Yarrowia lipolytica: one gene and its partners. The protein of the gene in region 1 purifies or fractionates together with the protein of each later gene. This does not show direct contact. Links are inferred from orthologs where the notes say so. Each region holds a gene or a part of one and is shown on either strand. Other genes may lie near its edges.

The links. The genes of interacting proteins can lie anywhere in the genome.
Region 2: the proteins of YALI1_E38056g (region 1) and YALI1_F19244g purify together in Saccharomyces cerevisiae (affinity purification with mass spectrometry; 28 studies listed by BioGRID, with this or other methods). This does not show direct contact. The link is inferred for Yarrowia lipolytica from reciprocal best matches to the Saccharomyces cerevisiae genes SPT7 and ADA2.
Region 3: the proteins of YALI1_E38056g (region 1) and YALI1_F04763g purify together in Saccharomyces cerevisiae (affinity purification with mass spectrometry; 3 studies listed by BioGRID). This does not show direct contact. The link is inferred for Yarrowia lipolytica from reciprocal best matches to the Saccharomyces cerevisiae genes SPT7 and YAP1.

What each region holds. Positions count from the first base shown.
Region 1 is NC_090774.1:3,804,709-3,808,462, reverse strand, and holds the start of YALI1_E38056g (uncharacterized protein), read right to left. Parts: upstream 2,889-3,754; coding exon 1,983-2,888; intron 1,934-1,982; coding exon 1-1,933. Other genes in the region: YALI1_E38050g (uncharacterized protein), read left to right, coding at 3,413-3,754. UniProt on the Saccharomyces cerevisiae protein: Component of the transcription coactivator SAGA complex. SAGA acts as a general cofactor required for essentially all RNA polymerase II transcription. At the promoters, SAGA is required for transcription pre-initiation complex (PIC) recruitment.
Region 2 is NC_090775.1:1,922,543-1,926,295, forward strand, and holds YALI1_F19244g (uncharacterized protein), read right to left. Parts: upstream 2,176-3,753; coding exon 2,114-2,175; intron 1,934-2,113; coding exon 559-1,933; downstream 1-558. Other genes in the region: YALI1_F19218g (uncharacterized protein), read left to right, coding at 1-169; YALI1_F19249g (uncharacterized protein), read left to right, coding at 2,385-2,477, 2,965-3,378. UniProt on the Saccharomyces cerevisiae protein: Component of the transcription coactivator SAGA complex. SAGA acts as a general cofactor required for essentially all RNA polymerase II transcription. At the promoters, SAGA is required for transcription pre-initiation complex (PIC) recruitment.
Region 3 is NC_090775.1:475,169-478,502, forward strand, and holds YALI1_F04763g (uncharacterized protein), read left to right. Parts: upstream 1-1,171; coding exon 1,172-2,776; downstream 2,777-3,334. UniProt on the Saccharomyces cerevisiae protein: Transcription activator involved in oxidative stress response and redox homeostasis.

The sequences.
Region 1 (3,754 bases):
TGTCCTTGAACTGCTGGTCTGTCATCTCTCCCTGACCACCTCCAGGTCGCAGCAGATCGCCCAAGAAAGACCCCAGGTTGTTCTTGAGATCCACCAACTTATGGCCGTGACGCTCAACGTCATCTCGGATGTACGCAGACAGCCCCTCGATAGACCCCGCGCCCGATTCCTCCAGAGTCTCCTTCAGAATCGTCTCCTTGCTGGTGTTTGTGTTCTTGAAATGCTGAGTGTAGGCCACCATTGAACGTCCCAGGTTGGATAGAAAGTCGCCCGCAATCTCTGTGAGTGCGTTGATGGCAAACGACTCGGTCGACTCAAAACCAGAGTGCATAGCAATTCGAGAAGCCGCTCGTTTCAGAGAAGCCTCACACACCTCTTTATCGTACTCATCTCTATTAGGAAGACGAGACTCGATATCCACATCAAAATCGGTGATCTTAGGCGGATTGTAGGCCTTTATCTGCGACGAATGCAGATACTGCTGCTGCATTTGTCGGATGATAGAAATTTTGGAGCAAATCTTTCGAATCTTTTGCATCTCGTTCAAGTTGTGGTCAATCTTGCTGACTAGACCCTTCGCAGGGGCAACGTATCGAGAAGGAGTGTTCTTGAGGCACTCAATATCAACATGGCTCCAAGTGTCGTCAATTCCTTCGTCGGGGTTGTCGCATGAAATGGCCCAGGGGAGCTCAGGAAGGCCGGCCTGGGGGTCGTACTCAAGTAAAAACGGCCGTCGGGGAATGTTTAATGGAGCATCAGCCTTGGGCTGTGTACTATCATTCACCTCTGCTGCCTCCTCCAGCAAGTCCTCCTGGAATTCCTCAAACTCCATGTGGGGACCGACTCCTCGCACTGCTGCTTCGGCTGAAAGGAAGTCACGGAACCCCTTTGATTTGGAAATGACAGTAGCGTCTGCGTCTGCCTGTATCTTGTTGTCCTTAAACAGCCGCGACCGCTGCACGGAAATGAGCGTCCGTTTGCGGCCAGTGTACTCAGTCCAGAACTGCTCCTCGAGATCATTGTCCGAATCGTCATCGGAATCACCACCAACCCCATAATCATTATTCTCAGCAGAAGCAGTCAGTTCCTTGGCACCAGTATGGCCAGCGGGGACCAAGGCAGACACGTTCGCCGACTCGGGCTCTTCGGTGGCTTCCTTGGTCTCGGTCTTGATATCGTTGTTGTTGGTATCCGGCTTAATATCATCCGAAGTCTTGTTGTTACCATCAACATCGACGTCCATAGACACATCTTCAACCTTGATGTCAGAGTCGTCGGCGTCTTTAGCATCCTCATCCACCTCCTCAATCTTCCGCTTTCGGCCTCCCTTCTGGCCTTTTCCTCCTTTCTGGCCCTTCCCAACAGTTTTGCCAATAGACATTCCTGTTCGAGCCTTGGCACCTCCCTGCTCTTTTTCCTCCTCTTCCTTGGCCTCCTGAGCCTGCGCGGCCTCCTCTGCGTCTGCCTCGGCCCGTGTCTTGATGGTGATGTCGGGGATGAGAGGAATGAGCGTCAACGTCTTCTTCTGCATGGCAATAGCATGGGCTCGCAAAAAGTGCTTGGGATTAGTGTTGTAGGTCAAGCAGTTTTGCCAGATGAGCATTAGGTCGTTGACAAAGTCCTTCTTGCTGTCGTATTGGAGGTTCTTGAGCTTCTTCATGACCGTGTTGAGATCCATGGGCTCCTTGATGACACTGAAGTAGTTGGGCGCGTCCCGCTTGTTGACCTTGTTGAGAAATGCAGTTGAGTGCTCTGTGTAGCCTCGTAGCTCGAGAACCACCTTCTCTGCAGCTTCATAAAGATCCTCCTGGCCTACACGTTCTTCGTTGGCCCACTTGGATCGGTTTTTGCGCACGTCCAGAATCAGCTTACGCAGCTGGGTGTCTGTGAGAGACAACTTGTCTCGCTTGGACTCAATTGTGGCCAAGAGGTTCTGTGTTAGTATAAATAATAGGAAGGTCGTTAGTAATGAAGATGCTCACCTTTAGAGACAGATTTGCGGCTCCAAAATTCGCCTTGGTCGGCTCCTCCTGTGTGTTTGTTTCCCCTGTGTTCTCCGACTCCTGGCTTCCCTCCTCGGCCAGATACGAGTCCATGGCCTCGCTGTCATTTTCAAACAGATGGTACCGTTGCCATATCCGGGCCAACAGAGCCGAGTCTCGTTTTTGGATATCGTCGGAGGTCGCTGGTCGGTCTTCGACCGATACCGAGTCCACTAGTGCTACACTGCTACCGTCCGTATGCTGGTCCTTGTTGTTGTTTCCGTCTGTTTTGGGACCCTCATCTTCGTCATCAAAATCGTAGTCATCTTCCTCCTCTCGTACAGGAGCAGCCTTGATCTGGGCAGGAGTCTCTTCCTTTTTGCGTTCTGCCAGGATGTCTTCAATGTCCACCTCCAGGTCCCCTCCCTTGATGTTGGGGTATAGCAGCGGCACAGACTTGTCGAAAATCATGTGCCGCACCTTGAAGGCCAACGCGACACAGTCCAGCGACACGGTCTTCTGAAAGCCTTCATTCGACGGAGTCGGCGACGGCTGATTCATCTGCAGATGCTTCAGATGCAGATGCGTTGAGGAGGACGATGTGCTCACCACGGGTGTACTTGGAGTCGGGGTTTCGGGACGTGCTCCATCCAGATTGTTGTTGGCGGCGTTTTCCTGTTCCTGCCTGAATCCCAGCGGGGGATCCGGCAACGGATTGTCGACAAATATCGACAGTTTGCCCTCGACCAGGTTGTCCCACATGGCGTCGTTCTCCAGCACTTTTTGCACGACCTGGTGTTCCTGGATGGTGAGAAAGCCGCGCCAGAGATCCTTGGCTTCAATTTCGCGGGCGACGGCAAGCAGATCACGTGATCGCCCGGAGGCCCACACGTTCAGCGACGTCATGTTGTCGTTCAATGTCTAAAAGGCCGAGACGGTGCTGATCGGCTTTTTTCCCAATCGGAGAATGTGATGGTGAGATGTGGTGTTGGAGATGCAGTATAAGTGGAGTGCCAACCTTAAACTCGCGCACCGGAGGGGAGAGATGGATCTGGGTGATGGACGTGAGGGCAAGAAGTTAGTATGCTGTTGGGAGGGTATTTGGCGTCGGAGGGGATGACGACAGATTATGAGTTAGTTTGGGGGAAACGACACTAACTCGTAAGTTGTAAGAGCTACTGAGGAGAAGTGTAGCTGACATGAAACAATGATATGAACGATTGTGTGTGCTCGTCCGTCGTAATTGTACTGTACAGTTATTACTCATTGGTGTCTTTCACTTAATTACGAGTCAGGCACCGAAGACAATTCCGCAGACATAATGTGACCTTCCCAATACACGGACAAGGCAAGTACAATATGAGTGTCAGCTTGATATATATAAGGAGGTGTGACGACTCTTGGTGAGCAGCGTCTTTATTAATCCGGCAATGGCCCACAATCGACAATTCAACGTTTCTCAGCAATCAAACAATTCTTCGACTATTCGCAGATCCCCAGACTTGGACATTGCTATAAGCAGTGATCTTGATATTTTCACTGGTACAAGACACGTTCCTGGACCTACCGATAACTACAGAGACTACCAATCAATCCTCGACCCCATGACTTCATCCAGAGCTCCTGTTTCTGCCCGGAGAGCTAGCTTCAAACGGCATTCCCCCATGGATCATTCGGAACGACCCTCCAGCTACTCACACACAAACAGAAGATCCATGTACACGCATTTCGAACATGAAGAGCCGTTCATCAGACAGGTCACCAAGGGTCTG
Region 2 (3,753 bases), on another chromosome or scaffold:
CGAGCTCTATGACAACCCCGCGCGATATGGACCCCAGCTTTGTGCGTTGCCACATTACCTCTCAAGATACAACTTCGAGTGTGTAGACAAGAATGGTGTGGTGGTGTCGCAGTTTCCTGGGTCTGCACCATACCAGCAAAAAGATGGAGAAAGCAAATTGCAAGCATAGAGCAACGGGCATGTGGATCAAAGACTGGATAATGGGTGGCAACTGCATAAACACCACAGATCACCCTGAGAGAAGATGTGCCCAGCCATCTAGTTACTAAGCTGCTAGATGTCCTGCATGAGGTGGTCGTTCAGCACCCTAGTAGTTACAACTACGAGGTAACTGCGGAATGATCAGGTCTCTTTGGTAAGTACAAGTACATACCCGGCAAGGGAGTATAGCTGAAGTAGACTGCAATAAACTTTGTATAATAGCTACGATACTCGATGTTTGTCCCTTCTAGTGTTCGCGGTTTTGTTTCTAATGTTTGTATTTGAATAAATTAACTAATATACAGGATTCCAAGAGATTGGTGACACTCAGCATTATATATGGGTTGCAACAAGGCCCTAAGAGAGCCAGCGCTGAGACTGGAAAAACTCATAGATTCGAGCGGTTTTGTTGACATCAATCTTGACCAGTTCACGGGCTGTACGCTTCTTGAGCACACCTCCGGTTCGCAGCAGCTCTCGGAACAGCGTTTCCTTGATGGCCAGATACGGCTTGGGCAAGATACGCAGCTGGGAACAAAGAACCTGCTCTTCTGGAGAAAGCAGCTCCACGTCTGGGGCATGCGAGATGTCGAGGGGATTGGCCACAGGTTTTCTGAAAAGCCGTAAGGTGTCTGCTCCCGAGTCAGGGTCCATCTTCACAGCTTCGGCGGCAGCCTGGTTTGCGGCAGCGGCCTGTTTGTTGGTTTTTTGAACAAGAGCATTGTTTGCAGCATTCATCGAGTTTGCAGTGTATCTGGATCCAGTCGAGTTGATGGAGTTAATGGGAGCCTGCAGCCTGGCCAATGCGTTTGCACGTACAGTTTTATCTCGTTCGTATTTGGACGCAGCTTCGAAGGTGGTGATACCGTTACGTCGATACTCCTGAAGTTCAGCCAGTCGTCGTCGACACTGGAGCTCAATAATCATTCCATCAACAAAATCGGTGAAATCCTGTAGTGTCATGATTCTTGCAAACGGCTTTAACTTGTTTACAAGCTCGCGCTCCTCCTTGGTCCGTTTCTTATCGACAGAGGCGTTCTTCCTGTACTGAAGCAGCCCATGGTTGATGATGGCTCGCTTTCGCTCGGTTCGTGATGTGAGACGAGAGTTGTAGATATCAAGAACAGTGATCTTGAGCTCCACATCAGCCTCGGTGTCGTCCTGATCAAAAACCATGTCCTTGACCGTCATCTCGGCCTCGTTTTCATGCTCGGTCTCGAACTCCAGACGTCCCGGCATAAACCCTTGCACCTCATGGCATGCAGGAACAGAAGCCGTGGGCTTTTGCTTGGGCACAGGGAGAGCGGTGGGCATATTTCGTCGCTTATCCAGACGCTCCTTTTTGTTTGCTGCGAACTCAGCTGCAGTGATCTCGAATTTCCGCTTCATGGGGGGCAACGGGTAGTCTGGCGAGTCCAGATAGACTTCCTTGTAATGCTCCCCAACCTCTTCCTTTGATCTACCACCGATATGGTCAGCGATGTCCTGCCAGTTTCCAAGACCCTGCATCTCGGCACCCTCGATTAATAGCAACTCCTCATCAGCACCCCAGTCCTCAGTGAAAATAGGATAAGCATGCTGCTCAATAATCATGTAGTTGTGGTAGGGCTTGTGGACACCTGATGAGGCACCCTGAGAGAAGCATTGTACACACAGATCGTAGTCCTGGCACTCCGCACATCGGATTCTTACCAGGTTGGTGCAATCACACGAACACACGTCGCAGTGAAATCTGGATTTAGTTAGCATGGGGTGATGAAAGTGTATCGAAATCGAGTCAACGGGGGACTCTAGCACATTCCTTCGCTTGACACAACCTTGGAGCAACTATACAGCAACAACTTGCTGACAAACTGCAAAAATATATAAACCATGCTGAGTGCATTTGGGACATGATGTATGATGTACTCACTTGACGCCTGGCTCTGATGCCTTGGGATTTGTCGGCGCGTTTTTGCGATGGATAACCGTCATTATTGCGATTTAGACGTAGTCGTTCTTTGGTTGATGGCTGGACTTCTTCGTGTCCAGTTGTTTGTCCTGTGCGCCACGTCGTTTCAAGCGGCGATGCTAATTTATTGGCGTAGTGACCAATTTCCAACCCACTTTCGAAGCTTAATGCCACATTCTGGAGGTGTGTGTTAATTTCTCACTGCTCACACCAGCTACTTGTACAAACTTGTATGTTGGTGGCGCACTGTATAATTTATTTACCGAAAGCGTCAAATCGCCTCTTCTCTTACATCGCGATTTGTACTTGCATTGTATCTCATAGGGTATGTCATGGTTCAGTGTAGGCCAGTGTATGGTGTTACCCGGTCGTATTGCTTGGAGTTTGATGTTCAACATGTTCCTGGGGCTTTTGAGATTAGGGCTTGCTTATGTGGGAGGCGTCTTGAAAACGAACGACCAGTCTCAATTTGGTTATTAGGGTTTGGGACTTACATGTGGGAGGGGCTCTGATGGCTGGTTGTTGGTTTAGGGTTGAATTCCGTTTTAAATTTTGACAGTCCGATTCTGGGCCCAAGCACGTGCACTGCCTAATCGGGACGTCCCAACGCTGGCCCGCGCACATTGACGAAAGCTGTAGAGATTTTACTTCTCAGTGTACTTTTCGCCAGTAACAAATAGCACAAAATGGTGAGTGTGAAAAGGTGGCAGTGTGACGGGCACAATCACGACTGACAAACGACAAGTGAATCTATCTGCGACGACAAGATGAGAAGGATTCCGTGGTGATTTCCAGGCCGTTACTAACCCCAGGGTCGAGTTCGAACTAAGACTGTCAAGCGGGCCTCCAAGGTCATGATTGAGCGATACTACCCCAAGCTCACCCTCGACTTCGAGACCAACAAGCGACTTGCTGATGAGATCGCTGTTATCCCCTCCAAGCGACTCCGAAACAAGATCGCTGGCTACACCACCCACCTCATGAAGCGAATCCAGAAGGGTCCCGTCCGAGGTATCTCCTTCAAGCTTCAGGAGGAGGAGCGAGAGCGAAAGGACCAGTACGTCCCCGAGATCTCTGCTCTTGACCTTTCTCACACCGACAACCAGCTCCAGGTTGACAACGATACTGCCGACCTCCTCAAGACCCTCGGATTCTCTTCCCTTCCCCTTAAGGTTGTCCACGTTTCCCAGCAGTCTGCTGAGCGACGATTCCGAAAGCGAAACTAAAATAGCAAAATGTATTATTGATTCACTAGTTGATTCACATGTTTATTCGAAATGTTTTTATGTTCGTAGCTGATGCATGTAACTACTTTTACGTAGTTCTACCGTACTCGTACCAGTAACGGAACGGGTAATTGTAGCTATGATATGTATTGTATGAGTAATGCACTAATTAGTACTGTACTGTATTGGTATTGTAAAACGCCAGATTCTCTATCGACATTACAGATGTTGTTCGTACTGTAGCTCGTGAGATGTGATACTGTAGCTCGTGAGATGTGATACTGTAGCTCGTGAGATGTGATCTCTCATGCGACGACACACTGCAAATGTGTATAACCATGTATGTTTGATACAACACATCGTATAGTACAGGTA
Region 3 (3,334 bases), on another chromosome or scaffold:
GCAAGTGATCTTCAGCATGGTCCTACAGTAGTACCGACACTGGTGCACTCTATAGCGATAGGTACGAGGAATCGGATGTGCGTACGTACAAAGTGCGCTTCCATGAGGCTAAGGCTGTGGATGCATCGGACAAGTGACTTGTTTCGTTAGTGTAGTGTGTGTGGGAGGAGAGTGTGTGTGCGGGAGTGCAAGTGGAGGTGAAATGTTGTGAAAGGTTGTGAAATGATGTGTAAAGGGAGGATAGGACGGGCGGAAAAGACCGCAAGCTGTATCATTTTGAAGCTCTCGGGCCCGCGAAGCTGTTTGCGGCATTAATGTCTCCATTCGAGCTCTTTTGGCGGACTCCAGGTGTCGTTTCTCTCCAACTACAAGTACTCATACAGTAGCCGCAGCCGTAAAGACCTCAGCCACTGACTCAACACCGCGGTTGCTTCTGGAACGGTTTGAAAGCTAAAACATCTTTAGGTGTCAGATTTTGGGAGGGTTTCAGATGGTGCGGATTGTGCAAAGTGGCAGAAAAGAGGGCGCAGGAGGCGGATTTTTGCGCTTTTGAAGACACATATGGGTTTTCCGAGCCCTCGAAACCATCTCTGGCCGTTTTCCCCGTCAAAAACCCCCGCATTTCACCTCCATCGTCGCTTCTGCTGAAGTCACCAGGTACTCCCGCAAATAAGCTTCATTCGCCACTCAAACCGTCCTGCCTTGAGATAAAAGTGCAACGTTGTCCACCAACGAACCCTGACAAGCCGCTAATCACTGTACGACGAACTTGAACGACCCAGTCGACGATTTCAACGTACAAAGTTCCTCCGAGAGTGACACAGACCGACGAACGATCGCACACAGACCGACAGCGACCACTCAGACAGTCCAGACATCAGACATCAGACTGAACACAACCAACAAGCATTGAACACTGCCCTTCCACCAAGTTCGACACGCAGACACAGAACCGCTCCAACCGACACAGAACCGCTCCAACCGACACAGAACCACTCCAACCGACACAGAACCTTTCCAACCGACACAGAACCGTTCCAACCGACGCACTACTGTTTCTTGTGTCTACAGCATCCACTGCATAATAAAGTCATACCAGCAACAACAGCACTATTCCAGCTCGTGGTTTTTTTTTTTTTTTTTTTGATTACCACAGCCACCTCACCTAGATATGTACTCAGACTACAACATTCCTGGTGCCATGCCGGCGTCCATGGCCATGCCTCCGTTCAAACAGGAGTTTGACTACGCCCAATACGACCTTAACCAGCCCCTGCCCCCGCAGCAGCAACAACAGCCTATCGACCTGACCCCTGGAGGGCCCCTCCCCGTCTCGGATTACTCGACGTCGTCATACACCCTGGACAACGACTCACAGAAGCGAAAAATGTCCCCGGGAGAGTCCACCAGTGACGGAGGCGCCGACGACGAGTCTCCAGAAGGAGATGACGGTGAGGCCGACCCCAAGAAGCCCCGAAAGCCCGGCCGAAAGCCCGAAACCACCATCCCCGCGTCCAAACGCAAGGCTCAGAACCGGGCTGCCCAAAGGGCCTTCAGAGAGCGAAAGGAAAAGCATCTGCGCGACCTGGAAACCAAAATATCTCAGCTCGAGGGCGAGACGGCAGCCAAAAACTCGGAAAACGAGTTCCTGCGCTTCCAGGTCCAGCGGCTTCAGAACGAGCTCAAGCTTTACCGTGAGAAGCCTGCCGGCACTTCGGGAGCCTCTGGAGTCTCTGGAGCCGGAGCACCCGCTTCAAACGTGCATTCGGCTCCCATCCCGGAGATGTCGTCCAAACCGTTCACGTTCGAGTTCCCCTCGTACAACGTGCCCAAGCCGACCGATGTGGAGCGAGAGGCACGCGAGCAACTGCAACGAGAGCAGATCCGAGGCTACTTGCAGCGCAAGCCCTCATCTGTGGCCTCCGACACCACTTCTCCTGCATCTCAAACCTCGTGCAACCAGTCTCCCTGCACCAACCCCTCGGCATACACTTCGCCCCAGAGCCAGAGTGGAAGTGTGAGCCAGCAGAAGCCCCTGTTGGGTGCTACCATCGCTGCCATGAACGGCAAGCCCGACCCCCATGCTGTTGACTTTTGTGCTGAGCTCTCCAAGGCCTGTGTAAACAAGGCCGAGCTGCTGCAGCGATCCGCCACAGCCAGTGCATCTCCCACAACCTCCAACACGGTGGTACCGTCCGCAGCTGCACCGGGTAGCACTCAGCAGTCGGCAGGCCAGCCCTCTGTATCCACTCCTACCTCCTCCACAACTGCCCCTCCTCAATTGTCTGCATCTGTCGCTACAGCCGGCTCTGATCTTCCCGGATCGGACTTCCTGTTTGACATGCCCTTCGACATGGACTTTATGTCGTACCGAGACCCCGTTTCCGAGACGGCACATCTGGACGACTTTTCGCTGCCCGAGCTCACGACAGAAACATCCATGTTTGATCCTCTGGACCCCCATTCCAGCAGCGACGTTATTTCTGGCAAGCCTCTGTCTACCATGGGCGCTACACACAGTGGTGTCAACAACGGACAGGGAAGTGGTGCTCCCGAAGTCAAGAAGGAGGAGGATGAGGACCTGCTCATGTTCTCCAAGCCCAAGACGCTCATGAACTGCACCGCTGTGTGGGACCGTATCACGTCGCATCCCAAGTTTGGCGATATCGACATCGAGGGCCTGTGTTCGGAGCTGCGAAACAAGGCAAAGTGCAGTGAGAGTGGCGTCGTGTTGACGGAGTTGGACGTGGATGGTGTCCTGTCAACGTTCCAGTAAGCGAAAGCTGAAGAAGTTCGCTCCTGGTTCAAATTGGAAATAGGTATATGTTCTCCCGGAGAACATCGAGGTGTAAGTCGGCAGGGTCGCTTCTCGGCTACAGCCATGTTTATTTAAATACTAACGTGTATAGTTAATTGTAATAAGAGAATACGAATAGTGAGAGAGTTCAGATGTATACGGGTCAGTGGGTCAACATTTGCTTCAGACTCTGGATGAAGATTATATATTCCTTTATTAATGGGTTTTCTCGATACAGACAATGGGGTGGAATCTCATAACGCAAAGGATCCCATGACGCCAAAGCAAGTACCGGTCCAATTTGTACTGCCAGTAGAGAGCATCCCAAACAAGCAGTCGCAGTCGCACTCATCGATATGCATATGTGCTACTTAACTGTACGAGTACTGTACAGTACATACAGTACCTGTAGTGATTCACATTCAGTCATACAGTGCAGGAGTACTTCCGCTTGTCTCACAGGCTTTGTCCATGTGCCAATGAGTCAGACAGACACTTGTGCATGAGGCAGAGCACACACATGGCTTCGTTCAATCT